3 linked regions of the Oreochromis niloticus genome follow. The protein of the gene in region 2 purifies or fractionates together with the protein of the main gene of each other region. This does not show direct contact. Links are inferred from orthologs where the notes say so. Each region holds a gene or a part of one and is shown on either strand. Other genes may lie near its edges. The genes, in order: evi5b, ras-related protein Rab-11A and wdr44.

Evidence for each region.
Region 1: the proteins of ras-related protein Rab-11A (region 2) and evi5b purify together in Homo sapiens (co-immunoprecipitation; 3 studies listed by BioGRID and IntAct, with this or other methods). This does not show direct contact. The link is inferred for Oreochromis niloticus from reciprocal best matches to the Homo sapiens genes RAB11A and EVI5.
Region 3: the proteins of ras-related protein Rab-11A (region 2) and wdr44 purify together in Homo sapiens (affinity purification with mass spectrometry; 3 studies listed by BioGRID and IntAct, counting the BioPlex papers as one, with this or other methods). This does not show direct contact. The link is inferred for Oreochromis niloticus from reciprocal best matches to the Homo sapiens genes RAB11A and WDR44.

Annotation. Positions count from the first base shown.
Region 1 is NC_031986.2:31,245,967-31,253,056, reverse strand, and holds the start of evi5b (EVI5-like protein), read right to left. Parts: upstream 3,008-7,090; 5' UTR 2,736-3,007; intron 1-2,735. UniProt on the Homo sapiens protein: Functions as a regulator of cell cycle progression by stabilizing the FBXO5 protein and promoting cyclin-A accumulation during interphase. May play a role in cytokinesis.
Region 2 is NC_031965.2:5,551,702-5,559,646, reverse strand, and holds the start of ras-related protein Rab-11A, read right to left. Parts: upstream 3,015-7,945; 5' UTR 2,866-3,014; coding exon 2,826-2,865; intron 1-2,825. UniProt on the Homo sapiens protein: The small GTPases Rab are key regulators of intracellular membrane trafficking, from the formation of transport vesicles to their fusion with membranes.
Region 3 is NC_031975.2:12,131,627-12,138,598, reverse strand, and holds the start of wdr44 (WD repeat-containing protein 44), read right to left. Parts: upstream 3,076-6,972; 5' UTR 2,612-3,075; coding exon 2,535-2,611; intron 1,732-2,534; coding exon 1,698-1,731; intron 1-1,697. UniProt on the Homo sapiens protein: Downstream effector for Rab11 which regulates Rab11 intracellular membrane trafficking functions such as endocytic recycling, intracellular ciliogenesis and protein export.

The sequences.
Region 1 (7,090 bases), on a different chromosome or scaffold from region 2:
TAAATGTAAAGCTTGAAGTTTCAGTCAAGAAGATATTTACAGTCACTCGGCTTTCGTGTTCCCATTTCTAGGAGGGGAATTACATCAAATTTGTCTGGCTGAGCATCAGAGACTCTAGTCTCAGAGGAAAAAAAATGTCCATGTGCTTTGTGAGGGTGTTAAAACGCAGGCCTGACTTATAATAACACACACAGACACACACTCTGAGGTGGGAAGGCCTTTGACTTCACACACACAAGTGCAGATTTTCCCAGTGTAGCATCGGAATTTCAATGGTCTTGCTGAAGGCTATTCTTCAGCGTGCACCCACATAATGAGAGCTACATTTGGCCCACAAAAATCTAGCATTACAGTAGTGTGGGAAATCATATGTGCTGGCAGCAGCTTATTTTATATAATACCAGTACTTAAATTTCAGCCATGGATGGTTTATTCACTGGGAGAAACAGCTACAGCCAATCTAAAACATTAACTATAAGGCCTTTTTGTCTTGCTTTTTTATATAAATATACACTAAATATAATATAAATATAAGTTGAATCCGCCTGATCATACTTATTAAATAAATGAGGGTAACATAAACACGTTAGTGAAATTGTGGGGAAGAAGAAAAAAACTCACAAGGGGGAAAATGGTGGCTGGGGGGATCAAAACACTGAAACTACACTGAAGTGACAGCATTACTGATTTGTGGCTTTTAGGATTTTCTTTCTATGCTACACAAATAATGTAATGCATTACTGGTGATTGTATTTGTAGGTATTATCTTTGCTTTGATGCACCACAGGGTTGAAATCACAGGCTAAACTGGATGCATTCAGTTAGGTACTGCAGTTATAATATTTCTCACAGGCCACATGCTAATATAAACAGACCTGACACATTGTTTACAGTAATAATTACAGCTTGGCTTTTCGTCTCATGACAAGTTAAATGTTACTTCTTGTTTTCAGTACTAGTTGTTGGCAATAAGTTCTCTGAGGGAGAAAACCACTGTTATTCTGTGTAAAATGACCAAAAATAGATTCAAATGTACTTTTTTCTTGTTCAGCCAAAGACACATACATAGAGTGTAGGTGGCGAGTACATAACACGATCATCCTCTGCTTCGCTTAGTCACACACGATTTATTGTAACTCCTTGATCCATGTTCTCCAAAGACTCTTAAATACGGGGGTCACAGGAAAGTTCTTGAAGCTTCATGTCCCCTGGGTTCACGGATTTGACTCACTGACATACAAAAAGTGTGAGAAGTTGTTATGTGTTTGTTGGGAATTTGGCAATTGACACCACATGAACCAAAGTTGTTCATCGATGCACTGTGGCTCAAGCTACAACAAAAAAATAAATGCTAATCTGAGGTAAATGTGTATTGAAACTGATTATTTCAGTGAAATGATGAGCTAAGTACAGGTAGAGGAAACGATAATTATCACGATGATAAATAACACTGATACTGGCATATTGGCAAATAAAATGACATTGATAGCTGATATTTATCCTTTGTGTCACATCAATTTCCACCTGGCCAAATGATCATAGTGATATTAGCAACTTTTCTCTTCTCTCTCACATAGTTTGTTTGTCATCTCTCTTCTCCTTCTCTGAACAGTTAAGGTAGATAGCCCTTCCTCACTAAGCCTGGATCTGCTGGTAAATTCTTCCTGTTGACAGAGAGTTCTTCCTCCCCGCCATTTTCAAGTGCTGCTCATAGGACATCTCTGATCGTAGCGGTTCTCACTCTAATATTGCATGGTCTTCCCGTCACCAAATGTAGAGCCCTGAGATGACTTTTGTGAATTGGCAGATTCTATATTAAACTAAAAAAAAAAAAAAAAATCTGTATAAGCCCCATGTTACACAGTCTGTGCATCCCTCAATATAATGCACTGTTTTAGGTCATTAGTCTGGCAATATTATACATTTAGATCAGTTTAAATTCCTTTAGGAATTTAAAGTACGAATGAAATACACTTTAATTCGGTCTGGTGAAGTTTCTTCCTGTTATAATAACTTCTGGTGGGTTAAAAGTCCGCTTGATCTCTACTCTGAGAGCTGTTGCAACTTGCAAGTCACTTCTTTGCAGCTGGACTGACGCATATGCTTGGCTGCAACACAGCCAACACTACTGCTGAGCAGTTTAAATCCTTTGCTTAGTCTACTGACACACACATAATATTGTTCACCTATCAAAAACACGTTAGGGGACGGGGGAAGCTGAGTACAGATGCATTAGACGCCGAACTCCCGATTCCTTTTATGGCTTGCTGATGTTGTGAAATGACGAAATGGAGATCTAGCATCAAATGCAACAGTATGCACACTCTGTCTTCCAGAAGGCTCTAAAGTCGACGCGTCGGACAACACTACAGGAGGTTACATGTTGAATAAATGCGACTTTAACAGACACTACTCTGCAAGAATAAATACACTGCTTATTAAAGGATGAAGTGTTTTCTAGGTTTTGTTTTTTTGTTCCAGGCGATAGCCCGAGTCCTTTATAAAGTAGTTTGGAGATCAACAGCAAACATTTAACACAAGCAACAGCGCCAACAAGCCGTGATACACGCTAATACTAAACCGCAGTTTTTGAGTTAAGTAAAGATAATCTGCTTTACTTTAAAGTAATGTCACACTGTTCACGTTAACAGTCACGGGTGAGAACTAAGATTTTACGACTTACTGATCGTTCCAGTATTTAGACATAGCCCGAAAATAGCAAGAACATCATTTACCTTGAACCGTTTTTAGCCACCCGCAGCAGACGTCGCCTGCTTCCCATGCACGAAAGTGTGCTAGTCCTGATACTATGAGAAAACGACAGGTTTTCACACGGTTCACCCAAGTACATATGTTACCCAAGATAGCCTAGATCGGTTTCCACTTGAAAGCTAGCCAGCGTTAAGTTAGCTCGTTCCCATTGACTCTTGGGTCCAGCCCATGCAGCCGTAATACGTGTACACAAATGTCTGCGGAGCTGAGACAGACGGCGGCCTACCGGAGTGTTTACATCCCACAGAGCATGCCCGATTTGGGACAATACTGACACCAAGCGTTCAAATTGCGCAACTGCACCTCCAATACGTCATTTCTTTCATTCGTTGTTAAGGGAAAATCAATGTACTTGTTATAGAAAAGATTGGAATTAAGTTAAGTTTTCTTCCCTATGCTCTTCCTTGTGAATAGCTTTAAGATCATCAGCTAGATTGATGATGACAGATGATTTAGCTGTGCTTCTGACTGTACCTGAGGACGTCATTACTTTTGCTCTTTATGATTACTCTCCGCGGCAACACAAACTGTACAAACACAACTAAAGTGACACCTTAAACCTGCTTGCCAGGACAGGTTTTTCACATTATGTTAAATATCTTGTTCAAAAGCTGGTTAGTGAATTAATTAAGTTTCATTAACAATTTTAATAAACTAAGAGTGAGAGAGAGTGAGTGAGAAGTTGTAACCTGTTTAAAAAATATATATGGATAAGACATTTTAAGAAACAAAATACGTAAAGAATCCTGTTATCAAAGACAGAAGCAGATACATATGAAATATCTTTGAAAGGAATCAAAATTATAAGCCTGTATTAGGTTTGTCCAAGTACTTTTCAAATAATTATGCCTTTTTTCATTATTTAAATTTAGCTCCAAAGTGTCATAACACGCTACAGAATACACAAAGCATTCAGGGAACAGGATATAAAAAAGCGAACCATTCACACCATTCAAATTAGGCTTATTTGTCTTTTTGCCAACGATACGACAGATATCACCTCATGTCATGACTGTTTTTCAACAGCTCTAATTTGCAACCAGTGTGTCCATACAATGTAAAATCTTCAAGTCAAAGAAAAGAGCTCCACACAAATGTTTTAATGCTTACCTAATCTTCTTACCTGAAATTCATTGCTGAGAGAAAAATACCTGTGTTAGATGAAACCTGGAGGTACAAACACTTTGGTCTTTATAAATTTCAGTTAAGGAATCTTATCTTCATTGAAAAAGCAGAAAAACACCATAAACAAGTCCAGAAAAAACTCTGGTGTAAACCTTCAAAAACTACTTTAACGTATCAGGAAATATTAATTTGAAAAATATCTATAATATGACACCTCAATCAAAGTGCCTTCAGTAGCTATATGTAGCTCATAATGCAGCAATCACTTGCTCCGGTAAAAATATGACTCGACTGACTACCTAGAATCACATACCACGCACTCATGAAACCTACTTTTCAGGTTTCACATGAGAGCAGTGACGCATTTCTTTTGTTGACAAGCCGGACACTCCTTCCTCCATGACAGTGTCTGAAAAGCAACTCGAACTGTAGTTGACACTTGGCAACACCACAGTGAATGTAGGCTTCTAACTCTGAGACACTGTCAACAATCACATCTCAGCCCGTCAACCATAAATATTTACATACTTCTGGCTGCACACCCAAATTGTAACGCACATTATTGAGGTAGATTATGACGAAACAGTTGAGTCACAGAGACCTTAAAATAGATGAGAAAGTTGCCTGGCTTTTTATAAATAGATCTTTATAATGTTTTGTGCTAATATTGGCTGAGCCAGCAAAGAGACAAATTATTGTGAAGAAGGAGCGTCATCAAACTGTGACTCTGCTTGTGTTGTTTGCAGTCACACACTCCTAACTGATGTCTACAGTTATCGCTCAATTATTGATGCAGACATGATTAACATCCATACTACTGTACTATCTTGATTTGTACCACACCTCAAAGTGCACTGTCAAAGATCAGGACATGGAAAATGTATTTTTATGTTAAACGGTGGATTCCCGTAATTGCAGAGAAAATAAAAAATTCCAATTAATTCAGTTGCATTTATATAGCACCGCAGCATAAGACCAGTGTCCTCAATGCAGTCTATGACTCAGTTTCTGCTTTGGAACCACAAATGTGCCTGCACTCAGAGAGAGATCTACTCTAATGGGATGCAATGAGGTCTTTATTTTCTATTTTATATGCTCACCCACAACTTTATTAGTAACACATCATCAACTGCTCATTAATGAAAAGCGAGCATCACAATAGGAAAGAAAAGTTATTTAAGTGACTTTGAACATGGCATATTTGTGGGTGCCAGATAGACTGGTCTGAGTATTTCAGAAACTGCCGATCTACTGGGATTATCTAAGGTTTACAGATAATGGTCTGGAAAAAAAAAAAATCCAGTGAGTGGCAGTTCTCTGGTAAAAAATGCTTTGTTGATGCCAGAGGTCAGAAGAGAATGGCCAGACTGCTTTGAGCTGACAGGAAGGCAACAATAACTGAAATGACGACTTGTTACAACCAAAGTATTCAGAAGAGCATCTCTAAACCTTGCAGCAGAGGAGCTACAGCAGCAGAAGACCACACCAGGTGCTACTCCTGTCAGCTACGAACAGGATACTGAGGCTACGGTCAGCATGGGCTTACCAAAACTGGAGAACAGATGACTGGGAAATTGTTGTCTGGTCTGTAGAAGTGGACTCGTGTACTGGTGTCCAGTTGATACTACTGTGATGAAATCGATATGTTGTTTCTACCCTCTGAGTTCAGTATGTAGCCCAGTGAATTATGTTAAATAAATTATTTTCTTTGGAAACAAAAAATATAGCTCAATGGCACTATGAAATCTGTCTGAACCTTTTGTGTTGACTGTCACATCTATTTTATTTATAGTTGATAATGCTATAAATAAATATAGTACTTTAAAGACAGACACATTTACATTCCACGTCTTCAAAAAACCCAGTTTCCAAATACATGAAAAGCTGAAAAGTGTGTTTTATTGTGTTAACTAATTAATGTGGAAAATAAAAATCATGCTTTTATTAGTTAAAGGTATGGTATCGGCAACACTGACCCTCTATTTACTTGATATCTGATTGATACCAAATCAATCAGTGCAGCATCTCACAGTGCTATTGATCTGATCAGCATTGATTTCAGCTGCGACATAAATTGGGTGCAAACATCATGAAAAAAGGATCCATCATGACTTGTATCAATGGCTCAGTCAGGTTACAGTGCTGTAAAGATAAAGGTAAAGATTCCTTTATTTTTGCAACAGCCATGTTGTGGGTGTTATTGTATACTGTGCCATGTTTATGCTGGTGTTTGTGTGAAAATTGTACTGAATATTAACAGGTAGGGGGTGGTGAGTGAGGCTCACTATGTCCAATCACTGGCCTTATTGTTCAATGTTCTGATGGCTTAGGGAAAAAAAGGTGACTTTAAACACCTATACCTCCTACCAGAGGGCATGAGGTTGAACAGGAGCTGTCCAGGGTGGGACAGCATTGCCCTCCTGAGACACCAAGTGCTGGCCATGTCTGGAAGCATGAAAAATGTGAAAAGTATTGGTCCTGGTACAGAACCTAGTGCCACTCTATATCTTACTATTTTGTCTGTGTGAGTTTCCCTGTCTACATCAATAAATCACGAACTAACAGATATGCTATAATATAAAACACCACTTACTGTTTTTAGGTGCATCTGTGAACTGAAAACTGACACTAAGTTTCAACAGTGTGTTTCCTGTCTGGGAACATTACTGAGACACTCCACTTTCACTTTATTTGCAACAGGTTGAAAAAGGGGTCACGTTTGTGTCTGTGGATTATTCTGACTAACCAGTCATAACTGTTTCTTTACATATATTAAAAAATGAATCGCTTGTCCAAATTGGATTCTTCACACTTGTACAGAAGGTAAAACAAGAGCTAAGTGGTTTGTAGTAAATATACTATATGTATATATATTATAGAATGAGTTCTGGGGTTTTCAAAGGTATCACTGATAAGCTGATAACGTTTTTGTTTTGTTCTGGAAGCAGACCTGTAGTCCGCAGGGGAAAGAGTTAAAGTTCTAAAGCTCCTTCAACCTAAATATGAGCTTTATATTTAAGTCTGCTACTGTAGACTCAACACAATAAAAATGTATTTTTAGTTTTCTTTTTTAGCGTGTAACAACAACACCAAACTAAATTATATTGTAGTTAATTAAACCTTAGGAACCGAATTATGTCCTGCTGAAGATGGAGAAATAATATAAGAGAAAATGCATTTATAGTTTAACACA
Region 2 (7,945 bases):
TCACCTTAGAAGTCAACAGCACTGAGAGTGCACTCAGTGTTAAAGTTAACTTGATATGTTTATTTTACTACTCTGTGCGTTAAATCACACAGTTAGCTATTTTCTTTAGAATTATCCATCTTATTTGCACAAATGATGCATTTTACTGTTGTATTTTATATGTTCTTCATAGCTTTTTAATCACTATTTTATCATCATCTGATAATATTTTGAGTAGCATAGGCAGCAAACTCGGGGATCCTTTTCTACCCAAAAGAATCATATAACCTACAAAACACCCATTTTTATGTGAGCATGCACAGATCCTGAAGCAGAAAGCCCGGTCTAACAGAAAGCTGATAATCAACTCTGTGATTCCCGTCATCTTCAATGAGGGGAAGGCATGAGGTCACCCGCCTCAAAACTTCAATGAGGTTTTGTTGAACAAGCAAAGGCAGAGAAAGCCTGTCTGTCTTGAACTATGTTAGTAGTATATCTGTCAGTAGTCATCATATCAAAGTATCATACTTTGATACTGCAATGAATACAGAAAAAACAACTCATAAAGCGTGGTAATAATTTTGTGACAGCTTCAACTGGGGACTCAAAAGCACACAACAGAATAAGGCAAATTTTATAAAAAAGGAATGTGTGAGACCAAAATGAGGAGAGTGCTGGGATCCCAAATATTTAAAGTGAATTTTGCCATATGTGAAAGTCTCATAGGTTGTTGGTTGTTCAAAAAAGCCACTAAATCTCTTAAAAACAAAAAAAAGAAAGAACTGTCCAGTTTGCCTATCACAGAAACTAGTGTGGGTACAAATATATAACTTAGCACAGAAAGTAAGGAAATTAGTGTTCGGTTGATTATTTCTTTGTTGGAAGAATGTTGCCTGGCAATAAATCTTAAACCATTAAAGAACCTGTTTATTTCCGCTTAAACGCTGCCTGATGGTGAAAGAAAAATAGAGTTGTGGGTTAAGTAGCAAAGGTGAGTATGTGGGTTACACCAATAAAAACTTGCCAAAACTTCCAATGCCAAACACATTCTGCTACTGACTCGTTTGTCATTTATTGGATTGGATGGGAAGTGTGAAGAAACAAGACACACCGGCAATTTCACAATTTATTCATTTAACAGGGACTTCAGTAGCATGTGGAAGAACCAAACACAGCCACGACAGCCTCATCTCCTCCTCATGCTTGGCCACACACTGCTGTGGGACTGCATCCTATTCTTCAACCAATATTTATTACAAAGCAGCCAGTGTGGTTGTGTTGGTTACTCTGGCAGGACAACCCCCCTTCATGCTGATGCTACAAGCATTCAGCTGGGTTGACATCAGGACTGCTGGCAGATCATTCCATGCTCTCCACACCTATATTCTGGATTTAATCTCTGATAAACTCCACTCTGTGTGGGTTAAGCGTCTTGGAGGACAGAGATTGTTCCCAGACTGTGGAGATATGGATTGCCACTGGTTACAGAAACTCATCTTGATATCTAGCTCCACTGAGATTACCTCCAGTGATGAGAAGCTTTGTTTTTTCCATTGAGAGATGCTGCTCTTCACCGTCACACTGCCTCCACCAAAAGCTTTCACCGTATCGGTGCATCAATCAGCACAGGGTTCTCCACATCCTCTCCATACTCTGACACTTGACACTATGAGCCAACTGCAGTAAGCACAATCTGGACTCGTTGCTGAACGTAACATTCCTGTACACATTCAGGGTTCAATTGCACCCGTTATTAACACAAATGAACCTAACAGTGAAGGGCAGTCACAGCAGGCCTCCTGACACACTTTGTGCAGTCTGTTCCAGGTTGTCTGGGTACAAAACCATAAGAAATATTGTCCTCCAAACTTTGATTGCAAATCTGTAGAAGACTGAGCACTGCACTGACAGTGTGTTTGTGATGTCGTCTTGTTGGGACACCCACTTCACAGCCTGTCTCTGATATCCACCCTCATATGGGACCTGGCCTTCAATTTGGAGATGGCACTAGGACTCATTCAAAATAATGCTGAAACTTAGTCTTGCACATCACCAGCTTGAGGTTGCCCTATGACATGGATCTCATCCAGATTAGTCAAACATGTTGACTGATCAGGTTCATGCCCTGCTAATCAGACATCAGATTGTCCATACCCGGCGTACCAGAAGCTCAAAACAAGAGTAGATAGTTGTTTGACATTGGCATAGTTCTTCATTTGTGCAACCCAAACATGCGATACCATTTAAGGAGAAATAGAAAGGCATTCCAACAGTACAAGACTTATTACCAAGAAGCATTGTTATGACACAAAAATAGTAAAGCAGACACAATCTTCCTGACTTTTTAAGCAAAGTTTATACATTCACAGTAATAAAAATACTTTAAAAATAATATAATGGCGAAAAGAATGATTTGGGTCATTGTTTAAAATTGTGGTCACGTGTTCATGAAGCAGCTCTTAACGCATTCTTTCCAATCCTCACACAAGTTTCTGTAGCTTGTCAAGCTGGACCTAAGATAACGTGATAACGGTTAACGCTAGGCGTGTCCGCGCCCACTATCAACAAGCTAACAGAAGCTAATAGCTAGTGTTCTTTTCTTTTCAGACGCCCCACTTAAATACACCGTACGTAAAGAAAATAGCACTTTAACGCCAACCCTCAAGTGAAGGCCGTTTAGAGGTATACACCCTTATATCAACTTCCCTACAATTTCCTGAAAGCTCGGTGAAAATCAACCACAGCACAAAGGTTGACGATGGCTTAGTTAGCCTGACAGCTGACCAGCTGGCCTGTTTAGCTTATCGGCTAAAGCTACGACACTAACGAGAAATTCACATCTTTACCTTTGAATAAATAATCGTATTCATCGTCTCTAGTGCCCATCGTCTTATTGAGACTGAATATTTAGTCCAAGATATGCTTCGTTTCAAAGCAAATACGGCAATCTGCAGTATTTTACTCTTCCAACGGGAATGTGTTTGGGAGCCGTACTTCCGTATTTTCTTCTTCTCCTTCGCTGCCGCAGAAAACCGGCATAATTCTGACATCAGACATCTAGTGGTCAAAAAATATACTTCCCAACTATCAACTTTTCCGTTAGGGCCGATTTATGGAAGTAAATACGATGCAAAATGCGAGAGCTTGTCAAATAAAAAGAGATAATGTGTAGAAAGAATTTGAACTTGTATTTTCACTTGCGTTTTAAATGTATGGTTACAGAGAAAATATAAATAAATGTGTAAATTAATGTTTGTAATTCAACTTTTACTCATTTATTTATTTATTTACTTTTTTAACTGCTTACAACTACACCTCTGTGGTTACAACCTCTCAAATCAGTGAATACAAGTGCTCAACTGCACCCTCAGAAGTCCCAAATTCATGAATTCTGCGCTTCAGGGGCAGCAGCAAAAACCACTTTAGCTAATAGTAAATGTGCTCGCTAACTAGCTATCCGGCATGGTCATGGGTGATTGCATTTAACATTTTACATATTTAAAATCTATCAACACCAATTTATAAATGCCCCTCCCCCAACCTTCTGTTTAATGCCAGGAGACATGAACCCTCCATCAAAAATGGTGTGCTTACTGTGGTCAGTGAAGATGAAGATTAAAGTTTGAAATTAAAAAAATATATAAAATTTAAATTTTATCATATTTAAAAAATGTTTAAATAACAAGCTAAAGTAATGGAAATATGCTTGTTTATTATTCAGCAGAAAAGTGTCCAGCTGACATATTTTTTGGTATTTTTTTTGTATTTGAAAATAAATGTTGTGCTGATTTAACTGCATTTGTATTGAGTGTTTTTAATTAATATTTTTAAATCATATTTACATGGAGTATTTATATCGATTAAGTAATCCTTTCTGTTTTGGTTAGTCTAGCTTTCCCAGTGTCTTTATTTCTGTTCCACATTTGTTACTGCCCATTTTAGTTTGTAGAGCTAGATGTCTCCTCTGTTTTGCATTTAGTTTTGCTTCCTTGTCTCATTTTTAACTATGTTTTAGGTGTATCTTGTCACCCTCCTGCGTCCATTTCACTTGAGTCCATTGTGTAGAACTTGTAATTCAGGCTGAGGGGACAGTTACCTGTACAGCACTGCTACAGTCAACATGAGGAAGGGCATCAAACAGGCCAAGGAGGTTTACAGGAGGAGGATAGAGGGCTTCCTAACTGATAACAACCTCCACCAGGTGTGGAGAGGCATCCAAGCCCTCACCAACTACAAATGTGCTGACCAACTGGGGGGATCCTCACCAGGCTCTTCAACCTCTCCCTGACTCATGCCACTGTTCCCACCTGTCTGAAGGCCTCCACTACCGTTCTCATCCCCAAAATGTCTGGTATACACAGGCTCAATGACTACAGACCGATAGCCCTACCGTCTGTAGTCATGAAGTGCTTCGAGCGGATAGTGTCGAGCAGATAGTGTCTCACCACATCAGGGACTGTCTACCCTCATCCCTTGACCCATCTGTAGAGCGCTGACCCATCTTGAGAACAGGAAGAGCTACATAAGGATGCTCTTCATGGACTACAGCTCAGAATTCAGCACTATAATCTCAGACATCCTGAATCCAAATTGGACCACCTCCACATCCCCCCTGCCACCTGCTCCTCGATCAAAGAGTTCCTCACAGGACTACGCTCTCAGCGCCTACTGTGTGCCCTATACATCTATGACTGTACCCCAAGCCACCCAACCAACATCTCCGTCCACCCCCCTGGACCCACAACACCAACGTAAAGAAGGCCCAGCACTGGCTGTACTTCCTCCGTGTCTTGAGAAAGAATAACCTAGAAGCTGCTTTCTGCCTTCTACTGCTCCTCAGTGAAGATTGTGTTCTCCTGCTGCCTTGGTGTTTGGTACACGCTACTGAGAACAGCAATGCTGCGCATAGGGTAGCTAACAATGCCCCAACAAATCATTGGCTGCCCCTGCGTTCCTGGAAGCAATCACAGGTGACTCCTTGCACCCCACCCACCACATATTTGACCTGCTGCCCTCTGGTTGGTCAATCAGGTCCCACACCTCCAGAAGCACAAACAGCTTCTTCTCCTGGGCTATTCGGACAGTCAACAAACACTATCCCCCCCACACCCAACCCCTGCCCACCCACCTCACTGATCTGAGCCATGGTCTGAATGACATCCGTCACTCAGGACACTCACACACGGACTCCATTCAACTCTTTGCACTGCTTTAAGCACTTTGCAACTATTTTGTCCTCTGATTTTTGTATATATCTATCTTGTTTGCTATTTATTCCTGCTGACACCTATTTATATTTTATTTTAGCACAGTTGGTGTGGAGCACTCACAATTTTGTTGTACATGTACAATGAGAATAGAGCCCTATTCTGTTCTAAACATTTAAGCTCTGCCTTTTTGTTGTTGTTGTTGTTGCCCAGCGTCTGTTGTCATTCCTGTATATTCCTGCTCATTTCTGAGTGGATTTAATTACCCTTTTCTCTTCAGGGACCTTGAGAGTCTGAGATTATGTTAATTTTCTTTCTGAAACAGAAAACGAGGAGTTTCTTTCAACTCAGGGTTAACAAACTCAGATGTTCCTGGAATAGTGCCCAGGATGTATCAACATGCAGTTTGAAGGAGATCCACTTGTGAGGGTGTTGTTAGATACTTTGCCATGTATTCCAACTCAACAGTGGGTTAGAGAAACCTCACATCTGACTAACAAGAAAGCAAAGAGAACAAGAAAACACGTATGACATGTTCTCCAACTTATCCCATATCATCTCAGTTGAGTTCAGGTTGCCGTGATCAGATATAGCAGCCCATGACACTGCTTCTTGGTTATCATGTCGGATCTTCCAGTCAAAGCCTGTAATTGTGTCATTTGGTAAGAAGATGCTGAACAGACAGTCTCCCCATGCATCTATTAGCATGTAAATATGTGAGCTACTTATTCAGCTCTGTGGCTTGTTGGTCGCTAAGCATGCTGCATGACCATGACAAAAACAGATATGGCGACGTCTTTAAAATGCCAAATAGCATTTTTCCCTTTTTGGACTTGTCCTCAGACTCCCTGCCAAGACTTTAGAGAGCAGTTTTTTAGTGCTCTACACCATTTGAAAGGCGCTCCTCTCTAAACACCACAGGAGAACTTGATACAGACTTGAATTTGACAGTTTAATCAAACTACACAAATAATAATCAACAAAAAACAGGTTTCAGTGATCCACTGTAGAAAGATGTGAACTTTTATAACTACAGTGGAAAAAACCCATTCAATTCAGTTTTATTTTCTTCATATAGCACAATATTACAGTGATGACTGTCAAAAAGCAATTTATATTACACAGTGAAAGACCCAACATTAACCTATGAGCAAGCACTTGAAGCAGGTTAGAGAAAACTCACATCTGCCACAACTTTTTGAACTGATGAGAAAGAGAAAAATCAAAGTTATGACAAACAACAAATAAAATATGGAAAATATGGATATTATCAGTAATATATGAGATGAATGGTCATCTTACAAATTAAATAATTAGTAACTGGCATAAATCTAATTCCAGACAGCACAAAAAATGACCAAGAGATCAGTTCAGTGATTCCAACAAGTGAATGTAAGACAGAGTGTTAATCGGCTGCATTTTTCAGTATCATGGTGCCTGTAAACCATTTACATAAAAAACAATAATTAAAGATAGTTAAAGAATTGAGACCTGCAGATAGCTAGTAGCTATAGCTACCTGTGTTAGCACACTTTATTATTTATTTTTTACTGACTAACTAACTTCTTTTTAAAATCACCCACTGTAGGATTTGGAGTTTTGTTGATTTTGCACTGGCTTCACTTTTTACCCTGCTGTTTGTCAGTTTACTTTACCTAAAACCACAATCTTTTCCCTAAACCTATTATTGCTGGTGTGAGTGGGTCAAGACACTGATGCCAAAGGACACGTAGAAAAATAACAACAGGAGCATTTCTAAGCTCTTCAAAGTACTGGGTGTACTTAGGTATGGTTGTCTCATCTCGTACTGCAGCACAGTTGCCCTTAATGATCCAGGGCCGAGTACGTATCAGTTTGTTTCAGCATCTTGGCTCCTTTCTTGGAGCGGATACACTTTTGAAAAATGTTGTCTCTTCATTGGTTAGGAAGTGGCATACTGTTTTCACATATTTGTTATTTAAACTCAGATAGCCAAGTTTACTATGTCAATATGTCTATTTACTCTGGAGAAGGCTGTAAAACTGAGAAATCTGTCCAAGATGGGTGGATCTATCAGTAGAGCTCACTTCTATCCGATCACAATACTGAATTGAGTTGCTCAGGATATCCTGAATCTTTCTGTCAGTAAGCACTGCCGTTTTGTTGCTGTTAGCTGGCATTCATAAAACTTTGATCTAACATTGTTTGACTCCGACACCTAGAAAATTAATCCTGACATGATGTGACTAGTGATGTGGTTAGCCCATAACCAGCAGCCTCATTGTCAGTTGGTCTTTACTTTACTTTATTGATTTAAATAGCACTCTACACAGGATAAAAACCACAAAGTGCTTCACAATAATGGTCGGAGACAAAGGAGACCACTTGTCTAATCTGCTGACAATAACTCATTGTAATAAATTGTGAGTAAATAAGAATATTTATAAACGTTTTTGTGTGTTACAGCCCTGAGTTTGGTTTAAGAGATCAGGTTTGATTTGAGGATGAAGATTCAAAGGATCTGATGATGTGAGTTAAAACAGGGCTAAGATCAAGACCTAACGTAATGATTTCAAACCTTTTGCCCATTTGAATCCATGGCAGCAGTGCTGAGATTCTTGTCAACAATAAAATGCAAGTATTTAACAGAAGGTGCTACAGATGAGACTTTGTTCATATCCAAGGACCCAACCTCAGGCAAAACCAATCCATTTTGAAAACATTTGTGATTGGCCTTCAGTCCCAAAAAAGCTTCGTCTGTCCAGGTCAGGGTTTTTGTA
Region 3 (6,972 bases), on a different chromosome or scaffold from region 2:
TAGAGTTGAGGTGTTTTTGTATCTTATGATATTAATCAACACAGTCTTGGAGGTTATGTTATGTAATAATTCTTTGTTTACCTTTATATTAATTGCTTGTGTAACTGCCAGCTTATGATATAACAAATGGCTTTTCTAGATTGAAAGTAATGTCCACATCTTGTTACCACTCAAAATTTGTATACCGCTCTCCTATTTATGTCCCATTTCCTGCATGGAGTGAGGTCAGGTGATTGTCGTCTTTAACGTTTGCATCACCTTGCAATAACATTTATATTATTTTTGTTTTTCCTTGCAATTATTTGTGCATTTCATTGCAGTAACTTGTTTTCTCTGACAACCTGCTTTGCATTCCTGATGATCCATTTGAAAAGTTTGGTTGTTTGTTGGTCCAGATCAGGTCTTCAGTGACAAATGTGTCATACTACCAACATACAGTAGCATCAAACTCTTATCCTGGACAGCTATCAGCATCAGCTAACATGTAACTAACATCATAACAATGTTGGTTCAGAATCAAACTTGCAAATGACTAATCACATTGTCTGAGCATTCAGTTAGCATGAGGCAAGAAAAACGCCATCTTTAAAAACGCCATTAAAAACTATCACAAGAAAACCAACTAACCTAAATTTGGCAAACGTAACTTGATAACATATTTGTCATAATTCATAAAATAATAAGGAAAATATTTGAAATGCCTACAATTTCAGGATTTTTATATAAAGAAAGGCATTTTTTCTTTTTCCTCCGCATTCCAAAGCTATGACATGACAACAATGTGACTGCTCAGTTGCAATGTTCATCCTGGACAAACATTATTATAATGATGGAACAGGAGCAGGAACAACACCATCAGTACACACACACACACAAAACCGCTGTGAATAATCAATGTTGCACCACTAAAACTTGTCACAACCATAACTGTAAAAAACAAGTCTTGACAGCAACGATCTCTAACCCAACTCTGCAGTTATAAGTACATATACAGCTGAGGGTGTCCTGACTCTCACTGCTGTCACAACCAGCAGCAGTCTAGTATACCACATGACACCACATCATAAAACAGTAAAGCCTTTTACAATGGGTCAGATGAAATGCAAATTTTTTTGCGAGGTCATGAAAAAAAAACACGAAAAAAAAAGCAAAACATGCAAAGTAATGCAAATGTTACTGAGAGGTAACATAAAGGTAGTCGTCAAAAAACACATTACATTGCCATGAGCTTGGAGGGGACCTTGTACTGTTAGTACACGAAGGTGTTTAGGAACGGTATTGCTCATAGCCGTTTACACACAATCATCAAAGATATAGGAAAAAATCTGCACCTTTCATAGAGATAAACATGGATAAAGCAAGATTAATGAAGAAAGATATGATTTTCAGAATGTATGTATAGTATTTGGGGTTTCATTTGTATTACACACACATATGTTTATTAAACATAACTGGAAATGCATAGATATGTTTTTTACTGTAGTCACTCCTTCCCAAAGGTCATTCAGAGACAGGAAAACTATAGACAAGCTACAAACTAATAGTGTTTTATGTATATATGAATCTGAAAAAATCAAAAGTCACTATTTTTTGCCATATTACTTTGAACTATAGAGTAAGTAGTAATCATTCAAAGAGCAACTCAGCACAACCCGTGACACCTTGTTTCAACAGTGCCTAGATTTAGATAAACATACCTGAGGTGAAGGAATGACGAACTTTGCGGGAGACCTACGAAACACAAAACACATGGTTTAAAACTGATATAGGCTAAACTTATAAACCAGGGGGGGGAAAAACCAAATACAACACAAAAGTCTAACTTTTTATCATTTTATCTGTCACCTAAGCAGTTGAGACGATGTATCTGAGTTAGATAACTTTTACCTCATATAGAACTTTTGATCAGAAACAATATTAGAAGCAACAGACCAGATACTTTAAACATTTACAGGGTGGTTCAGTAACCTCTTCCTTTTAAGCGCCCACAAAATACATCTTTAAAATGTACATTACATTTTTAATCTCTAATCGAGCTGTCATACAGCGGATCATACAAAAATACTGCTTTGTAAGCTACTGCTACCTTCAGTCGGGTTTTTTTGTTATTCCAACAAGCTGTGTTTTGAATTAAAACTGTAAATTTGCATTGTGGTTTCAGCTTTCATAAGAAACCTGTTCGTTCAGTCCAAATCCTACTGTCATCATGTGACTTGTGAGCGTTTTGAGGTTTAGACTCTCCTGTACCTGCATTGATTAGCTGGTGAACACAAGCACTGTATGACAGAATATAATTAATATTCGGCATCTAAATACAAAACAGACTGGGTCGTGTTTTGCACACGGCACATGACTTGGCTTTGAAGCAGCTTGAGTTCATGCTTTTCATGAAAAAATGGCCATTTTGCAAATCTAACGTTAGCTGTCAATACTACGCTAGCTAGATACATATGAGACAAGACAAAAACAGGCAGGAACGCGTGTTCATTTACCACCGTTTTCAAAAGTAATATTGGCAAAAGGTTTTTTCTTACACTTGTGGAGACGGAGTAAAATTGGGGTCCTCTGGAGCATCATAGAATTCCTCCGTGTCACTTGTATCTGACGCCATGCTAACGACAATGTAGTTCGCTAGCTAGCCTAGTTTCCAGGCAGCTGTGTATAAGCCTAACCTGCCAATGACTGAAAGGTATTACATATGCGCTTGTAACGTCCTCTATGTTAACACTGATATTTCAATGCCCGAGCCCGGGAGTCGTCAAATAACAACTTTCCGGTCCAACATTACGCTAAAGCTAACAAATGTAATCCTGTCTTACGACTAAGCAGCACTTAATGCTAGCTAGTCCTGATCCTCTTTTAGATCTATCTTGCACAAAGCACCGTATCGAACGAGAAAAACGCCACAACCGAGTTTTTTGTTTTGCTTTTTCACAACATTATACGCTTGATAAGCTGTCAAGCTAACAGAACCAGAGAACCGCGTCATAAACAAACCAGCTACACAAAAAATACATCCTAACGAAGCAAGGGAGGGGCACAGGCGCCCTCTTGTTTCTTCTTCTTCTTCAATGGCGGTTGGAGAACAGCTTTTACGGCTACTACTGCCACCTTCTGGACTGGAATCTGGATGGAACAACTTGGTTGTTAAATCCTTTTTTTAAATCTTTTAACTCTCACTCATTTTACTTCACTATTGTGAGTTTTATAAAATTACTGTATACATTACAATACTCACTGAACAAGCAAGAGAATAACAGCCACTGATCAGGTGGAGTAGAGTGTATTAGTTGGTCTAGCAGCAAGGTCTAGTTTTTGGTTCCTAAATAATCCTCTCAGGATGATATGATCATGATTAGACACGTAATCAGATGAGCAACAGTTTGTTTAACCCATATTTAAGAAATTATTATTATTATTAGTGTATCTGGGAGATGACTCTCTGACAGACATTTTTGAATTATAGAGGTTGGTAGCATTTGGTCTGAGAGATTTCCTATATCTGTCCTTGTGGCAGTGGAGCTGAAACAGTCTGTTGGAAAAGGTGATCCGCTGCCTGTCAGTGATGCAGAGGGGGACAGGATTATCCATGATGGAGTTTAAAGTTTGCTCACTGACACCACAGCTTCACCACAGCTTCAAAAGTGACCAGTTTGCTGGCAATCGCAGAGTTAGCCTTTTCAATGATTCTGTTCATGTCACCAGCACTGATGCTGCTCCCAAAGCAGACCACAGGCAAGTACACTGGGCTTGCAACGCCTAATTGACAGAAAATCTCATCATTTTGCTTTTTCCTCACAGAACACGCCACACAATCATCCACTGGTGCTCTGTACTCCTCCTGCCTATCACTAATAAATTCACTGCCACTGCAGAACTGTCAGAGTATTTCTGTAGGTCGCATGCATTGAAAGTCTGTGGAGCTTCTGTGCTGCACATCACCAAATCAGACATAGCACTGACTAATCTCTGTCAGTAACCCATGAGATGGTATACATGTTTACTGACATTTCTTATCGCTTTTCTCTCAGCAGAGAGAAGAGCTGGATCATTTTAATTTGAGAAATCAAAGGAAGTGATCCTCTGCATGCAGCCATTTTTTTAGATGGGAGTTAGCTCTCTGCAGCATGTATATGGTTGCATCATCTACTGGCAGATTTGGTTTGTATGCAAACTGCATGTGAGTTGTCCACTAATGAGCAGTTTAGAGACTTGCTGACATTTGATTGTTTTAAGCAGACACAAAGACATAATAATAATATATTAATTATTAGTTAGAATAATATTAATTATATGTAAGGTCACCAGAAAACCGGCTAAATAAATGTGACCAGGCTACAGTGATGGAAATAACTATTTTGATCTTTTGATGAATTCACTTACAAAGAAATTAACAGTCTCCAAATTTGATGGTAGTTTTATTTTAACTGAGAGAGAAAGGATTTTAACCAAGAACCCAAAAAGAAAACATTACATAAAAATTATAAGATGATTTGCATATCATTCAGTGAAGTAAGTATTTGAGCCCCAATCAAAACATGATTTTGTACTTGTTGGAGAAACCTTTGTTAGCAAGCATGGCAGTAAGAAGTTTTTTTGTAGTTGGTCACCAGGTTTGTGCACATCTGACGAGGGATTTCGGCCCGCTCCTCTTTACAGAAACTTTTTTAGGTTTCTTGGCTGCAACTTGGAAACTCAAAGGTTCAGCTCCCTCCACTGATTTTCTACAGGACTGAGAGAGTTTGGAGAGTGGCTAAGCTACTCCATAATCTTAAAGTGCTTCTTTGTTGCCTTGGTTTTGGCTACTGTCATGCTGGAAAAGTCATCCATGACCCATCTTTAGTCTTCTGGCTGAGCAAACAAGGTTATTGTCCAAGATTTTATTGTACATGGCCCAACTCATTGGTCCCTCAATGTGGTGAAGTCGTCCTGTACCTTTAGCAGAAAAATAACCAAAAGCATAATGTTTTCACCTCTGTGCTTGAACGTAGGAATGGTGCTCTTTTGATCATACTCAGCATTTCTCAAACAATCATTTCCCCCACTCTATACACGGTTACTGATCAGTAATTAGTGCAGTGGTATTGTTAAGTATACTAGAAAGTGTAATTAAATTGTAGTGCTCAGTAAATCCATTGAAAAACTCATTTAAGTTACACGCTCATATGTTAGCCGCTCTATGCACCGCTCATTCTTTCTCACATGCTGCGACAGGCACAGTGAATGCAGTTCAAAACAGTCACCACAGACTGAACTTTTTTCATTTGCAATCAAAGCACTCTTTGTTCCAGATCAATGCATCAGCTGATTGATAATAAGACTACAATCTAATGGATTATTCAAGAGCATGAAAAGGTGGAGGTCGCAGAAAGGTGATTATTGGAGAATCTGAGTGCATTTTAGTGAATGCATACATTATTTTTGCGCATTTTGTCATTGTAGACTGTAGCTGTTCACTCAAATAACCACCCATTACAACCAAAGCATGCAGAAGAGGATCTCTGAGTCACAAGACAAAGTCACAAGACTCATCAAAGAGATTAAAGAGTTTTTTGTACTTTTTATAAAAAAAATAACAAACATATTTTACAGGTAGCCTGTCATTCAAAAAGACATTTTGTCTTTTAAAATTATTTACATACTGTGAGCAAATGTGGCTATTGTTTGTCTATTTGGTCATTTTCATTGCAGAATTGATCCATCTTTTACTTTTTTAAAAATGTATTGCTGTTATATTTTATTTAATTTTATTTAACATATTTATTTGTTTGTTTTTTAATTAATTTTACATGGTGTAAAAAAAAAGAATTCCTGACTTTTGGGATAAATAAGGTATGTGTTGTCTTATTTGTCAGAGTCCTTTAAATTTTTGCTGTTTAAGCTGGAATGCAATTGGGCAGCAGGAACACGTATCTCTGCTGTACCTGTGAAAAAACAAATCACTTCCATATTTCAACAACATTAGCCTCTCACATTAGCTCATCTGGAAATTTCCACTTGAGTTACCACAATATTCAAACTCTAAATTCAGACTTCTGCTTTTGTAAAAAACAAAAAAACAAAACATAAAATAAATAAACAAACAAATAAATAAATAACCAACCTAATTACCATACTTTCTGTGCGTCCGTCTCACTAATTTCCAACATGTGATACTTTTGATTATGAATATTGCTCACGAATGTTTTTAAATGGAAGCCTATGGTTCACCTCACAAAGTATTATCCAGGCATTTCAGTGTCCAGGTGCTTCAAATAAAAAAAGCTGTCTTAAAACCATTATTTAGTAACGGAAGTTTTAAGCCAATGAGAGAAGATTGCCATACTCTTCCGCCAATGGAAAGTGTGGATACTCCGGCTTTCCTAGTAAGCTACAACTGCATTGGATAAAACTAGGAAGGAGGCTTCAGGGGTATAAGTGGATTTGAGGGCTTGGAAGGAAAACAAGGACGCTAGGTAACGCTATATCGTTGTGGAAGGTATGGAATTTGCTTTTTAAAACTTTGCAGAGTATAGTTAAACTGCCTACATTAATGAAAATGCTATATATAGTATATTAAGCTCAACACATACCGGGTTGTCAGTTAGCCATAGGCATCTGTTGGTGGTGGCAGATCAACCAACCAACCAGACCAACTAATAACTAAACCAACTAACTTATATTAGGACCACAGTCCTTTGCGCCGTCACTGGTTAAGCTAATGTCGCTATGGGAAGAGTGCTTAAGAGAAACTTACGCGACAACCACAAAGTCGACTGTCGTGATTTGATGTTATTTTAAGCTAGCAAATGTTAACGTTAGGGTTAGCCTAGCTAGGTAGCATTAGCCTGTTCCCACCGGAGGTGTACCGACAGTATGGAGTCAAACATGGCCAGAAAATGAGCAAAGCTCCCATTTGGTTGCCTTGTCTGTTGAGTCTGAACAGCTGTCGCAGTCCGGCTAATGGAGACAGACGTGTTTAAAGATAGGACC